Linked DNA regions of Oryctolagus cuniculus. The protein of the gene in region 1 purifies or fractionates together with the protein of each later gene. This does not show direct contact. Links are inferred from orthologs where the notes say so. Each region holds a gene or a part of one and is shown in the gene's direction. Other genes may lie near its edges. The genes, in order: ANKRD52, PPP6R1, PPP6R2 and PPP6C.

The links.
Region 2: the proteins of ANKRD52 (region 1) and PPP6R1 purify together in Homo sapiens (co-immunoprecipitation; 3 studies listed by BioGRID and IntAct, with this or other methods). This does not show direct contact. The link is inferred for Oryctolagus cuniculus from reciprocal best matches to the Homo sapiens genes ANKRD52 and PPP6R1.
Region 3: the proteins of ANKRD52 (region 1) and PPP6R2 purify together in Homo sapiens (affinity purification with mass spectrometry; 3 studies listed by BioGRID and IntAct, counting the BioPlex papers as one, with this or other methods). This does not show direct contact. The link is inferred for Oryctolagus cuniculus from reciprocal best matches to the Homo sapiens genes ANKRD52 and PPP6R2.
Region 4: the proteins of ANKRD52 (region 1) and PPP6C purify together in Homo sapiens (affinity purification with mass spectrometry; 6 studies listed by BioGRID and IntAct, with this or other methods). This does not show direct contact. The link is inferred for Oryctolagus cuniculus from reciprocal best matches to the Homo sapiens genes ANKRD52 and PPP6C.

What each region holds. Positions count from the first base shown.
Region 1 is NC_091442.1:59,055,440-59,057,784, reverse strand, and holds part of ANKRD52 (serine/threonine-protein phosphatase 6 regulatory ankyrin repeat subunit C), read left to right. Parts: intron 1-71; coding exon 72-143; intron 144-392; coding exon 393-594; intron 595-785; coding exon 786-873; intron 874-952; coding exon 953-1,070; intron 1,071-1,593; coding exon 1,594-1,813; intron 1,814-1,959; coding exon 1,960-2,047; intron 2,048-2,165; coding exon 2,166-2,249; intron 2,250-2,345. UniProt on the Homo sapiens protein: Putative regulatory subunit of protein phosphatase 6 (PP6) that may be involved in the recognition of phosphoprotein substrates.
Region 2 is NC_091449.1:3,650,468-3,654,032, forward strand, and holds part of PPP6R1 (serine/threonine-protein phosphatase 6 regulatory subunit 1), read left to right. Parts: intron 1-1,262; coding exon 1,263-1,320; intron 1,321-1,404; coding exon 1,405-1,580; intron 1,581-3,565. UniProt on the Homo sapiens protein: Regulatory subunit of protein phosphatase 6 (PP6). May function as a scaffolding PP6 subunit. Involved in the PP6-mediated dephosphorylation of NFKBIE opposing its degradation in response to TNF-alpha.
Region 3 is NC_091442.1:123,354,458-123,358,022, forward strand, and holds part of PPP6R2 (serine/threonine-protein phosphatase 6 regulatory subunit 2), read left to right. Parts: intron 1-70; coding exon 71-136; intron 137-2,139; coding exon 2,140-2,252; intron 2,253-2,575; coding exon 2,576-2,689; intron 2,690-3,565. UniProt on the Homo sapiens protein: Regulatory subunit of protein phosphatase 6 (PP6). May function as a scaffolding PP6 subunit. Involved in the PP6-mediated dephosphorylation of NFKBIE opposing its degradation in response to TNF-alpha.
Region 4 is NC_091432.1:229,001,629-229,005,990, reverse strand, and holds the start of PPP6C (serine/threonine-protein phosphatase 6 catalytic subunit), read left to right. Parts: upstream 1-1,547; 5' UTR 1,548-1,765; coding exon 1,766-1,840; intron 1,841-1,911; exon of another isoform or gene 1,912-2,484; intron 2,485-4,362.

The sequences.
Region 1 (2,345 bases):
CAGTGGGGCGGCAGGGGACTGATACCTTAGGAGCTGCCGAACCTCAGCGCCTGTTTTCCTGTCCATTGCAGCTCTTAGAAATGTCCTTTAACTGCCTGGAGGATGTGGAGAGCACCATTCCAGTCAGCCCTTTGCACTTAGCTGTGAGTCCCCAGTCTTTTCTTCTTGCCGTCCCTGCCCCACCTGCTCTCAGGCTCGCGTAAGGGTGACCCAATCACCTGATCCTTGCGTCTGCCTTCTTGTGGGGAAGGGCACAATGCAGGGGGAGAAGCCCGAGGGGCCTGGGGAGCTGTGGAGGACTAATGCCTAGAGTGTCTCCATGGGCTCCCAAGGCACAGTAGGGCCAGGTGTGTGTCTCGAGCTGCATCTGTTGGTTGCCTGCACACCTCTAGGCCTATAACGGTCACTGTGAAGCCCTGAAGACGCTGGCGGAGACGCTGGTGAACCTGGATGTAAGGGACCACAAAGGCCGGACCGCGCTCTTCCTGGCCACTGAGCGAGGCTCTACTGAGTGTGTGGAGGTACTCACGGCCCACGGTGCCTCCGCCCTCATCAAGGAGCGTAAGCGCAAGTGGACGCCCCTGCACGCTGCTGGTTAGTGCCCGCTTCCTGAACAGTTAGGCCTGGGAGAGGGCTGGGGCAGGGCGGATGTAACCATGTGTCCTGATTCATAGCTTCCTGTCTCCAGAGTGTCTCGCTGCCCCAGGTCTTCCCGTAACCTTGACCCTTGCAGCCTTGAGGCTCGAGCTGACCCTGCCCTGATGCAAGCTCCCTTTTGTCTCTAGCTGCCTCTGGCCACACTGACTCCCTGCACTTGCTGATTGACAGTGGGGAGCGAGCTGACATCACTGATGTCATGGATGCCTATGGACAGTGAGTGTGGGCGGGGGGTGGGATGCAGGTGTTCCCACCCGTGCTGGACCCTCACCCTTTCTCCTGCCCCCCTCTGTAGAACCCCACTGATGCTGGCCATCATGAATGGCCACGTGGACTGTGTACATCTGCTGCTAGAGAAAGGATCCACAGCCGATGCTGCTGACCTCCGGGGCCGCACTGCCCTCCACCGTGGGGTGAGAGCTCCTGGGCGGGTTGCTCACAGGCAGGCCTCGATGTGGCAGCACAGCGCCCCCCAGCAGCAGGGCATCGGACTGTGTAGGAGGCGGGCCAGGCTTTCACACAAGGGTGTGCCTGCTGCAGGATGAGTGGCCACCGTCCCCAGCTGACTGCCCTGCTTTGTAATCACACATGAGCACAGGCCCACCACTCAGACTACTGTGCCCTCAGACAGTGCGGCCATCACCCAGGTCCTTCTCACGACCACTGTCCCAGAGCTGCCTCCTCCTCCCCCAAGATTCCCACCCCCTCGGTCCTTTCTTGGCTCTGCATTCAGTGTCTCACTCCAGAGCTGCGGGGTGGACTCTGGCCATCCTGATGGCTGTTGACACAGAGACACAGGGAAGGAGATGCTGGTGCCTAACACCTGGGCTGCCTGTTGTGCATCAGGGATTGGAGCCCTGGAGGTGGTTCCTGCTCCTGGCCGGCAGAAAGGGAAGGGCTCCTCACCCCGACTCTCGCCCCTGTGTCCCCCCACAGGCAGTGACTGGCTGTGAGGACTGCCTGGCTGCCCTGCTGGACCACGATGCGTTTGTGCTCTGCCGAGACTTTAAGGGCCGCACGCCCATTCACCTGGCCTCAGCCTGTGGCCACACAGCAGTCCTGCGGACACTACTGCAGGCTGCCCTGTCCACAGACCCCCTGGATGCTGGGGTGGATTACAGCGGATACTCGCCCATGCACTGGGCCTCCTACACTGGTATGGCCTGGGCCTCCGGTAGGCTCAGAATGTGTGTGCGATGTAGAGAGGGTGGGCTGTGGGGAGCCTGCGCTGAAGCGGGCCTGGAAGTGGAGTGGAGCGCCCCTGCCTTTTCTCTGTTGTCACCCTTTCGTCCTCGTCCCCAGGACATGAAGATTGTCTGGAGTTGTTACTTGAACACAGCCCATTTTCGTACCTGGAAGGAAACCCCTTCACTCCTTTGCACTGTGCAGTGTAAGTCCCTGTGCACTGTGGGCTCCCCGCCTCCGGGGGCGCGGGGGCTGTGACCTGCGTCAGCATAGGAAGGCCACTTCCCTTGCCTTCCTGGTGACCCCTGCTCCCTCTTCCCTAGAATTAATAACCAGGACAGCACCACAGAGATGCTGCTGGGAGCTCTGGGTGCCAAGATTGTGAACAGCCGAGATGCCAAAGGACGGTGAGTGAGGGACGGTTCGCGGAGGAGCCCGGGCACCTGGGGTTCCTGTTTGCTCAGGCACAAGGGCATGCCCCTCTTCACTCTGCCCTGCCCACC
Region 2 (3,565 bases), on another chromosome or scaffold:
AACTCCCTCTCAGTGTTAGGAATATGAGTTTTTTCCTGTTTCCCAGATTTCCTGCCATAAGCAGTCTGACCAAAAAAATTTAACATCCATTAACTTTTTGTGAACTAAGTACTAAGCTGTCATGTGGTAGAGACAGGCAGTGAAGAAGGAATGGCCACTGGGGTCTGGGTGGGTTGTGGCCGGGGGCTCCGAGTTCAGCTCGGGCCCGGGTCACAACTTTGCTGGACCTGGTGCACGGGTCAGTGCCCTGTGGGGTCGTGCTGTTCGCTTTGCAGAAGTGCAGCCCCTGTCCAGTCTGCACCGGCATTGCAAATCCCCGCTAAAGACAAAAGGCGGAGCCAGGAGAGCGAGACACAGCCTGGCGTCAGCGAGTTTGGAAGGGTTTTACTTGCCTTTTTTTTTTTTTTTTTTTTTTTTTTTTGACAGGCAGAGTGGACAGTGAGAGAGAGAGACAGAGAGAAAGGTCTTCCTTTTGCCGTTGGTTCACCCTCCAATGGCCGCCACACCGCACTGATCCGATGGCAGGAGCCAGGAGCCAGGTGCTTTTCCTGGTCTCCCATGGGGTGCAGGGCCCAAGCACCTGGGCCATCCTCCACTGCACTCCCTGGCCACAGCAGAGAGCTGGCCTGGAAGAGGGGCAACTGGAACAGAATCCAGCGCCCCGACCGGGACTAGAACCCGGTGTGCCGGCGCCACTAGGCGGAGGATTAGCCTAGTGAGCCGCGGCGCCGGCCGCCTTTTTCTTTGATTTCTGTTCCAGTTGCCCTTGGGCAAGACTTAATTACCAATGTAAATGGACAGATAGATGGAGAACAGGTACACGTTTGGTTGTTTCCAGTGACTTACATTGCCTAAAGTGACCACAAACACTGAACTGGCACAGCCTGCACCCTGTTCCCTGGGGAAATTTCTGGAAGTATGTAGAATGGTGCAGACCGTTCATGGAAGTGGATACTGCGACTCTGGCTTGGCGTGTTAGCACCCTGCCCGAGGATGCCCACAGCCTGGTGCCAGCATGGGATGCCAGCTCAGCAGGGCTAGCCCGAGCCGGGGCTTCTTGTGTGGCCATCCCTGTTGTCCCCATGCTCTGGACACCTGTAGCTAAGTGTGTATCAGGCAGCTCTGCAGACGGCCGGTGCTGCAGGTATGACGTGTGGGATTCCAAATGCATTGCAGGGAATAGTGGGATTCCCAGCTAGTGGGGTTGGCTGTGTGTTGGCTGCTGCACTTTGGTCACAGTGCGTCTCCACCTGTTCTCCTAGCGCACCTTTCGACAAGACTGCCAACATCACCTTCTCTCTCAACGCTGACGATGAGAACGTGAGTGCCGCCTGTCCCTGGCCGGGCGGGGAGGGGTGCAGGGGCTGCAGGTGATGTAGCCCTTCCTTCACCCTGTACCTGTAGCCCAACACCAACCTGCTTGAGATCTGCTACAAAGACCGCATCCAGCAGTTCGATGACGAGGAGGAGGAGGAGGAGGAGGAGGGCCAGGGCTCGGGGGAGTCGGATGGAGAGTACGGTGCCTGGCGGGGCAGCCAGCTGGCACGGGGGCCCCGTGGGGGCCAGCCCCCTGGTGTTCGGTGAGTACCCTCCAGACAAGCCTGGACCAAGATGGAGTGGACGAGAAAGAGAAGATGCATTGGTGTGTGTGTGAGAAGTGCTTTTGATTTTGAGTGACAGAAACCAGTTCCAATGAGAAAGGGGCCGGAGGAGCGGAGTGGTCCCTGGGAAAGCAGGCGGGCCCTGCAGCTGCAGCCCGTCCGGCCGCGCCCTGCCTCTGGCTCCCCAGGGCAGCTCTCACGTTTTCCCATGAGCAGCACCTCTTTCCCTGCTTCCCTCTGCAGTCAGGGTGTCGGTTGTCTGTGCAGACTGACTGGCCCTGGAGTCATTGTGAGTAGGGGGTTCATGCCACGTCTGCTTGCTGGCGGGAACCAGCTCACAGCCTGCGGTTCCGCCTCTGCCTTGTGACTTCTGGGTGGGGAATTAGGGAATTTTAGCTTTCTTACTGAAGTGCAGCGTGTACAGGCAAGTGCGCGAGTTCTGAGTGTCCAGCCGGATGGACGCCTCTGTTACCACCGTGATCCTGCAGTGGGACCATCCCAGCACCCGCTGTACCCCAGCTGGCCCCGTCCTCCACCCTGGGGTAGTGCTGTCCTGACTTCTGGGTCTGGCTCTTTCTCCGCACTCCGTGCAGGAGGCCCAGCCTTCTAACTGGCGTGCTGGCGTCTTGCTCACTCGCAGCCGCAGCCGGAGGCGCTGTGCCGGCACGTGGCCGGGCAGGTTCTGTGGTTTCACGCTGAGAGTGGAGCTGCAGTGAATGCCCTCACACATGTGTGCACAGATGTGTGTCATTCCAGATCCGACACAGTGTCTTACTCCTATGTTTTCTGTCAGAAATTTTTTAAAAGATTTGTTTATTTTACTTGAAAGAGTTAGAGAGAGGCAGAGGCACAGAGAGAGAGGGCTTCCATCTGCTGGTTCACTACCCAGATGGCTGCAATGGCTGGAGCTGGGCTGAAACAAAGCCAGTAGCTTCCTCCAGGTCTCCCATGTGGGTGCAGGGTCCAAGGGCTTGGGCTAGCTTCTTTTTCTTTTTTTAAATGTGCTTGGTCTTATTTTATTTTTAAATCTTAGCTTCTTTTTTGTTAAGATTTTGTTCATTTATTTGAAAGGTAGTTACAGTCAGAGAGACAGAGAAGTCTTCTATCCACTGGTTAAACTCCCCAGATGGCCACAACAGCTGGAGCTGGGCCAGTCTGAACCCAGGAGCCAGGAGCTTCTTCTGGGTCCCCTACACAGGTTCAGGGGCCAAAGCACTTGGGCCATCTTCTACTGCTTTCCCAGGCCACAGCAGAGCTGGATTGGAAGTGGAGCCGCTGGGACTTGAACCGGCACCCATATGGGATGCCGGCACTGCAGTTGTCAGCTTTATCCACTACGCCACAGCGCCGGCCCCTGGTTTTTTGTTTTTTTTTGTTTGTTTGTTTTTGTTTTTTTTTTTTTGTTTTTTTTTTTTTTTTTAAGATTTATTTACTTGAAAGGCAGGGTTACAGTTACAGGGCGAGAGAAAGAGAGCAAGGTCTTCCATCTGCTGGTTCACTCCCCAAATGCCACAATGGCCTAGGCTGGGCCAGGCTGGAGCCAGGAGCTTCTTTTGGGTTCCCAATGTGAGTACAGGGGCCCAAGTACTCAGGCCATCGTCTACAGCTTTCCCAGGTACATTAGCAGGGAGCCGGATCAGAAGTGTAGCAGCCAGAACTCTTAGCTGGTGTCTGCATGGGATGCTGGCGCTGCAGGCGGCAGCTTTACTCGCTACGCCACAGCGTTGGCCCCTCCTTCTTTTTAAGATTTATTTGTTTTGAAAGAGTTAGATAGAGGGAGAGACAGACAGCGAGAGCTCTTCCATGTGCTGGTTTACTCCGCAGTGCTGAGGCAGACCGAAGCCAGAAGCCATGAGATTATTCTCTGGGTTATCTTCCACTGTTTCTCCCAGGCCATTAGCAAGCAGAGAGCAGACAGGAAGTGGAGCAGCCAGGGCTGGAAGCGGCGCCCACATGGGATGCCG
Region 3 (3,565 bases), about 64 Mb from region 1:
CCTCAAAGAACTTCTCTTCTGTTTGCCTAATCATGCACAGAGATGTTAACACACGTTTTGTCCCTTTTAGTGGCTGAATGAAGAGAAGATCATCCAGCGACTTGTGGAGTTGATCCATCCGAGTCAGGATGAGGATGTGAGTGTGGTGCTCACAGAGCCCACCTGCTTTGTTATATTATTTACGTATGTGTATGTTTACTTACTTACATGAAAGGCAGAGGGAGATCTTCTGTCCATTGGGGCACTCCCCAAATGGCCACAATAGCCAGGGCTGGGCCAGGCCAAAGCCAGGAGCCAGGAGCTTTGTCCGAGTCTCTCACATCTCACCTTCTTTCCCGCATGAAGCCCCTACTGTTTACTTTTCTTCCTCTATTCAAGTGCCAACCTATAGGTTCTTGGGGTTTTTTCAACTAAAAATAATGTCTGTATTATAAAAATAGTTCTGTTGGTTATCTATTCATATAATTATCTGTAGTTGATTAGCAGATTATCCCGGAATTAGCTGCAGGATTTGCCTGGGAGGGCTTGCTTCTGTGGACACAGAGGCTTTGCAGCACTCTGCTCCCTGGGACTGCTGGCCAAAGCCACCCTCAGCTCTGAGCGCTGAGCCACATGTGCCTGTCCACAGGGCTCCTGTGTGGCCGCTGGCTTCCTCCCGTGAGCAGGAGGAAGCCATGCAGACTCATCTCAGCAGTGCCCTCCCTCCTTAGGCACGAGAGTACGTGTGGCCCGCACGCAGGGAGACAGGGTGACAAGGGCATGGATTCTGAAGTGCGGGGAACTGGGGAGGGGCTCATTGGCGGCCTCCCAGAAACTGTTCACCATAGATCTGGAAGCATGCAAGGTGACACGGGGCCTCCTGTCTCAGCTGCCCTCTCCCTGCAAATCCTGATAGACCTTCTTTTTTGTGTTACAGATATTTACACATAGACACACGCACATGCACAGTCCTCAGGAAGTTTGAAAACAGTTGGTGCTGGGCCGGCACCACGGCTCACTAGGCTAATCCTCTGCCTTGCGGTGCCGGCACACCGGGTTCTAGTCCCGGTTGGGGCGCCGGATTCTGTCCCGGTTGCCCCTCTTCCAGGCCAGCTCTCTGCTGTGGCCAGGGAGTGCAGTGGAGGATGGCCCAAGTACTTGGGCCCTGCACCCCATGGGAGACCAGGATAAGTACCTGGCTCCTGCCATCGGATCACCGCAGTGCGGCGGCGGCCATTGGAGGGTGAACCAATGGCAAAAGGAAGATCTTTCTCTCTGTCTCTCTCACTGTCCACTCTGCCTGTCAAAAAAAAAAAAAAAAAAAAAAAAGAAAGAAAGAAAGAAAAGAAAGAAAAGAAAAAAAAAAAGAAAGAAAAGAAAAGAAAACAGTTGGTGCTGACTGACTCATGTCTGAAGCTGTCACAGCTGCCTGGCCACTCTGCTTTGTTCTGTGTCAGTGCTCGGGGCCTGGCCAGACAGCTGGGTAGGGCCTTGTTGGCACCTGTGGGAAGCAAGGCGGCTGCCCTGTTCCAGGGTGGAGACCACTTGCAGGTGTGAGTGTAATGGTCCGTCCCTTGTCTCAAAGGTGGGCTCAAGGCCACACCACAGAACCAACCAACTTGCTTTCGTTTTTTCCTAAAGCAGTCGACCATGTGTCTCCTCCTCAGACCAGTGCCCAGGAAGGGGGTTATCCTGTCAGCCATGCCCACCTCCCCCACGGAACACGCCTCCATTGCCAGCAAGTGCATATTTGACTCGGATTGCACAGCTGCAGGGTGGGAGGGGCTGGAAGGTTTGGTGCTCCCCTTCCTCTGCAGCAGCTTCCCTGCTTTCGCTGATAGTGGCTCCTTGTCACGCTTAAAACGCAGAATCGTGACAAGGCTGCATGTTCAGTGTCTCTCCGAGCGTGGGTCAGAGGTGGAGAGCAGATCTGTGTTGCACTGCATCAGAATTCCTGGGGATGGCTCAGAACAGCTGAAAACTTAGCCGGGTCTCCACGTTGGAGACGGGAAAGATGGACGCGGCTTCTCTGACACAGACCGGGGTCTGGGCCTTTGTGGAGCTGCTCTCGACGAGGCAGCTCCGTCAGGGGCAGCAGCAGGGCTGGCGCTGCTGTCGTCTCTCCCGGGCACTGAGGGCTGTGTCTCCCTTGTCTTCCAGAGGCAGTCGAATGCGTCTCAGACTCTCTGTGACATCATTAGGCTGGGCAGAGACCAGGGCAGTCAGCTGCAAGAGGCTACGGAGCCAGACCCCCTCCTCACAGCGCTGGAGTCGTGAGTGCTGGTGGGCTGTGGTGTGGTGGGCCTCTCTCTGAGACCCTGCTCTGATGGCACTCTGCTGGGCTGGCTGTGAAACACTCCCCAGATTCGGAGCCTAGTTAATTTGATGGGCCTTTTTCTTGGGGGAGGGGTCTCCTGGCAGATCCAGAGGTGGGGCCAACAGGGAAGGGATGAACTGTGAACCTGGGCACCTGCCTTGAACCCAGGTAGGCTGGAGTGAGAGCCCTCAGATCCAGGGTGTAGCCGGGTCCTCCGCGCGAGGGGAAGGGGCTGTCCTCACCTCCTCTGCGTGGCAGTGACCTCGTGTGGGTCCGCAGGCAGGACTGCGTGGAGCAGCTTCTGAAGAACATGTTTGATGGGGACCACACCGAGAGCTGCCTCGTCAGTGGGACCCAGGTGTTGCTCACCTTGTTGGAAACCAGGCGGGCTGGGTGAGTCCCAAGGGAAAATGAGAGTTGTTTGACGTTTCAGACAGGAGGTGTGGTTGGGAGACCTGTGGAGTGTGCTCCAGTAGTGGGCGCAAGCAGGACCGGCACCAGCATCCCTGGGCCTGTGCGCGCCGTCTGCGGATGCTGCTGTGCAGTTGGGAGGCCATGCTGCGTATACAATGTTTCTGTCTGCCCTGTCCCATTACATGCTGTGGCAATGGCCTTGCTCTCTCAGGGTGACCGCTGTCCCTTGTTTCTGTGTGCTGGGACCAATAGCCTGTGCATTTTTATAAAGAAAAAAAGACAATAGGAAAGTGGCAAGAAATTGACTTAATCTTGGTGGCTAAAGTACCAACTGTTCCTCTTTGGTATTATCTAGTACACATTTATTAGTGTCTTACCTAAAAGTAGAATTAAGACATTCTAATCATGGTTTCTACTGATTTTTTTTTAACTCTTCATAAAAGCAAGAGGTCTGGGCCACGTCTGGGTGCTGAGCCCAACCCTGCTTGTGACAGAAGGGAAAGCTTAAAAATTAGAACAGAGAGAAACCAGCTGTTTCTCTTTACTTTTTAATCCTTTTCCATATTTAATTTTTAAAAAGATTTGTTTATTTATTTGAAAGTCAGATTTACAGAGGGAGAGGGACAGGGACAGGGACAGGGAGAGGGAGAGGGAGAGGGAGTACTTGGTGGGAGTACTTGGGCCATTTTCCACTGCTTTTTCCAGGCCATTAACGGGGAGCTGAATTGGAAGGGGAGCAGCCAGGACAAGAATCGGCATCTATATGGGCTGCCGGTGTCATGGGTGGTAGCTTTACCTACTGTACCACAGCTCTAAATTTTTTTCTATAATGGCCATGTATTACTTCTGTAATTG
Region 4 (4,362 bases), on another chromosome or scaffold:
CTCCCAACTGATCTCTCAGTGCAACCATCGCCCTCCAGGAGTCCCCAGAGTGCTAGAGTGATCCTTCTACAACAAGCTACATCATTTTACTCCTGTGCTAAAAACCCTGCAATAGCAGTCCATTTCATTTAAAAGAAAAAAAAGCAGGGGCTGGCGCTGTGGCATGGTGGGTAAAGCCACCGCCTGCAGTGCTGGCATCCCAGATGGGTGCTGGTTCAAGTCCCGGCTGCTCCACTTCTGATCCAGCTCTCTGCTGTGGCATGGGAAGGCAGTGGAAGATGGCCCAACTGCTTAGGCCCCTGCACCTGTGTGGGAGACCAGGAAGAAGCTCCTGACTCCTGGCTTTGGATCAGAGCAGCTCCAGCCATTGTGGCTGATTAGGGGAGTGAACCAGCAGATGGAAGACCTCTCTCACTGTCTCTCTCTCTCCTTCTGTGTGTGACTGTGACTTTCAAATAAATAAATCCTTAAAAAACAAAACAAAAAAACACAGTATTCTTCTCCTTTTCTCTCTGATCTCTCCTACTCCTCTCACTTCTGCTCCAACCACACAAATCTTGCTGTTTCCCGAAGACTTTAGATAGGCGTCCACCTCAGGGCCTCCGCACCAGCTCCTCCCTATCATATCCCTCAGGTAGCTGCATGGGCAACTCCCCCACTTCTTAGATGGCTTTCAAAGTTCATGTCCTTACTCTGCCGCGTTGTTCCCCTAGCACACGTCACTTTCTCAAACGCTATGCATTGATGGCAGCGTGGTGTCTTCCCGTCCTAGCTGTCAACCACAGGCTGTGGACGCCCGTCTTTGTCTACTGTGTTGACTGCGTATCCCAAGCGCCTGCAGTTGTACCTGGCCCATGGCTGGTGTTTGGTAAACAGCTGCGGAATGACGAATGCCTCAATGAATGCTGAAGGCCTACTCAGTGCCAGGTGATCTTACTCGGTTGGGGACACAACATTAAACTCCCTCCCTCGTGGGACTCCCACGGAGGTCTGCTTAAGCCAGCTGACCTGTTTTCCAATGTTGACTCTACCGTTCGTTTCCGGTGACATGTGGGGCAAGTTACGTAGGGTCTCCAAGCCTTACCTTCCCAGCAATCATGAGAATTAATGGGGGAAGGGGAGTGGGGCGGGGAAGAAAACACAGAATAAAAGAACCCTTGCGGCATCCGGTACAAGAAACGCTTTGACATTTCCTTTCTCATCCTCAAGACCAGACGACTGGGAGTTCGGCTTCTCCGCCACAGGTTTAACCGAGGTTTTTGCAAAACCTTGGAAAGGCGCAACCAGGCTACTACGGGCAGGCTTACCCAATTTCTAACTGAGGATGTCCTGTTGAGAGAGGGCCTAAAAGGGTCGCAACGAGAAGCCACAGAACGCTCAGGTCACCTACTTCGCCGTTTTGCCTCCGATAAGCCTTGCCGGGTCTCCAGGGGTGAAGTACCGGGAAGAGGAGGAAAAAGAGAAGCCGGCTCCAACTGAAAACTACAAATCCCAGCAACCCCCGCGGCAGGCAACTACGGGTCCCAGCAGGTTTCGCGGGCGGAATTGAGGGGACCTCTTCGGGCTGCAGCCTGGGATCAGTCAGCGAGGGCGCGGGACGTGCGGGGGCGGCGCGGAGAATCCGGTCAAGCTTTAACGTCGCTGCGCAGACGCCACTCACGGGCCGGACGTGACGTAGGGAGAGTTCCGGCTTCGGCCTCCGCCGCTGCCGCCGCTAGTACCGTCGCCGCCGCCGCCGCCGCCGCCGCGGCTTGTTCCTCCTAAAATGGCGCCGCTAGACCTGGACAAGTATGTGGAGATAGCGCGGCTGTGCAAGTACCTGCCAGAAAACGACCTGAAGGTGAGCCCGGCCGGGGCGGGAGTGCCGCTTGCGGGGCTCGCCCCTTCCGGCTGTGGGGCGCCCGCCGGTCCGCCCTTCCTCTCTCCGCGGGACCCCTGCCGGGTGTCCAGTCCTGTCGCGGTGGAGAGCCCTCCGCGGTGGGAGGCGACCCTCGGGCTCGGCGTCACGCGGGGAGACGGGAGAGCCCGAGTGCCCGGATGCTGTCCTGGCTTCCCCCGCCGGGGATCCCGAGGGCTGTCGCGGGCTCTCCTCCGGGGTCGCCCCTCCTGGCCTGCGGGCTGCCCCTGGACGCGGAGCCGTTACAGCTTCGCCGGGAAGACCCCGCTCTTCCCCAGCCGCAGCGCCGAGCCCCGGAGCCGGAGTCGAGCCCCAGCGGGTGGTGCTCCCCGGAGGTGACAGGAGCGCGGGTGGCCGGCTCCCGGGGTCGCTGAGGTCCGGCGGGGCGGCGGGGCCCGAGCGGAGTAAGAGGACGTCGTGTCCCTCCGTACGCCGCTCCACATTGCTCCTTGGGCGTGCTGGCTCTCGTGCCAATTCAGCTGGGAATCCCGGTCTGTGGCGGTGTTGGGTAAAGTGTGCAGATACCAGTAGCTTGCTCGCCTGGAAGTCGTGCCCCCGAAACCCACTTCTTGGCTTTTTGGAAGAAGGTGACTTTTTGCTTGTTATTGCCCGAGTGGTGGGATTGTGTGTGTGGGTGCAGGAGTCGGGGTCGGATAATTTTGGAAAAGCGTTTCTGTGCTTTGTTGAAACCAGTGCTTGGGTTTCCAGCAGCGGTTACCCGCTAGTGCCGGTGTCTCATTTGTTCTGTTAACTTTGATGGGCTCTGTGCTAAGTGGGTAAGCTGTAAACGGTTCGAGTGCTTTTCATGCTTTCATTAAGCCGTGGGTTGTAAAGTTACAAAAGTAGATGTGACCGTGTTTGTGTTTTTGCTATATCCTTTGGTACCGGAAGTTGATATTTAACCTCACTCAACAAGTATGCAAAATTTTTCAGGTTCCCTGGCCTGATGTGAATATAAATGAATTGTATGTGCTTATGCTGGGATAATCACTCTCGTCCCCCCCCCCCCCATTTTTAATAGGATAGCTTCACTAAGGACAGCTTTTATTAATGGTAGTGTAGTGTTTCTGCTCCCAGTGCTTCAGACGCGTGCTGTGTAGCCAGCATTGGGAACCCGTTCATGGAGAACTGGCCAGGCCTCTGCTGGTAGCATTGTTCATCTTTTTGGTGAATTCATTGCATGTTAATGAATCGATGTGGAATTCTGTTTTCATTTGTTATGTTTAAAGCCGTTTTGTACTTTGTGATTTCAGTTTCAGAAAATATGTCTTGATATTACCTTGAGGTGGGACACAAATTACTTGAAAAACAGTTGGATTTTCTTTAGATCTCTTAGTCTGCTAAACGTTATCTGAAGGAAGTAATTATTAAACCATTTTATTTCCTGTTGAAACATAGTTGGACTGTATTTATTTGCATCTGATTCTTAATAAACTTTATATCTTCTGAGCAACTACTTAAATTCTGGATTTTTCTCTGTTAGAGACTTCTGTTTTGGAAAATTTTTTTTTTCTTTCTTTTTTTTTTTTTGACAGGCAGAGTGGACAGTGAGAGAGAGAGACAGAGAGAAAGGTCTTCCTTTTGCCGTTGGTTCACCCTCCAACCCTCCAATGGCCGCCACGGCTGGTGCGCTGTGGCCGGCGCATCACGCTGATCCGAAGCCAGGAGCCAGGTGCTTTTCCTGGTCTCCCGTGCGGGTGCAGGGCCCAAGCACTTGGGCCATCCTCCACTGCACTCCCGGGCCATGCAGAGAGCTGGCCTGGAAGGGGGGCAACCGGGACAGAATCCGGCACCCCAACTGGGACTAGAACCCGGTGTGCCGGTGCCGCAAGGCGGAGGATTAACCTAGTGAGCCGCGGCGCCGGCACCTCCAGAGTATTTAAAGAAATTTAATTTATGTTTCTTTTTCTTGGCATGAAGTACAAACTAAAAATAGGCAGACCAAAAAATACTCTAGGAGCACCTTTGATGCTTTCAAGTCAGTAGAAAATATTCTGTTAGAGGATGGAAAGAATTAATTGGGGCCACTTAATGAACATGATGGAAGAGACTTGTTTGGGTAGAAAGGAAAGTAAATTTTTATTTGTATTTTAAGTTTATTAGAAGTTAGAGGTGCAACATTAAATAATAAATACATAGGATGTTCAGGTGTGATAACAAGTTCTTTATAACTGAATTTGAAATGGTCAAAATACTAGTACCAGGTCGAATCTGCCTGTTTTGAGGGAATAAGAATAAAGTACCTGAGAGTGAGTGGACAACAGAGCTCAATAGATGGTTTAGATTTCATAAGTTGCTAAGTGAAAGAAGGAGTGATAAAAGTCTAGTTTGGTGCTCGCTTTGGCAGCACATATACTAAAAGTCTAGTTTGCTGAATATGTAAGTACTTTTGGAGGAGAGAGTCTATAACTTGAAGGTTGTCTGAATTTTTAGAAAATTTTTTTTTCAAGATTTATTTACTTATT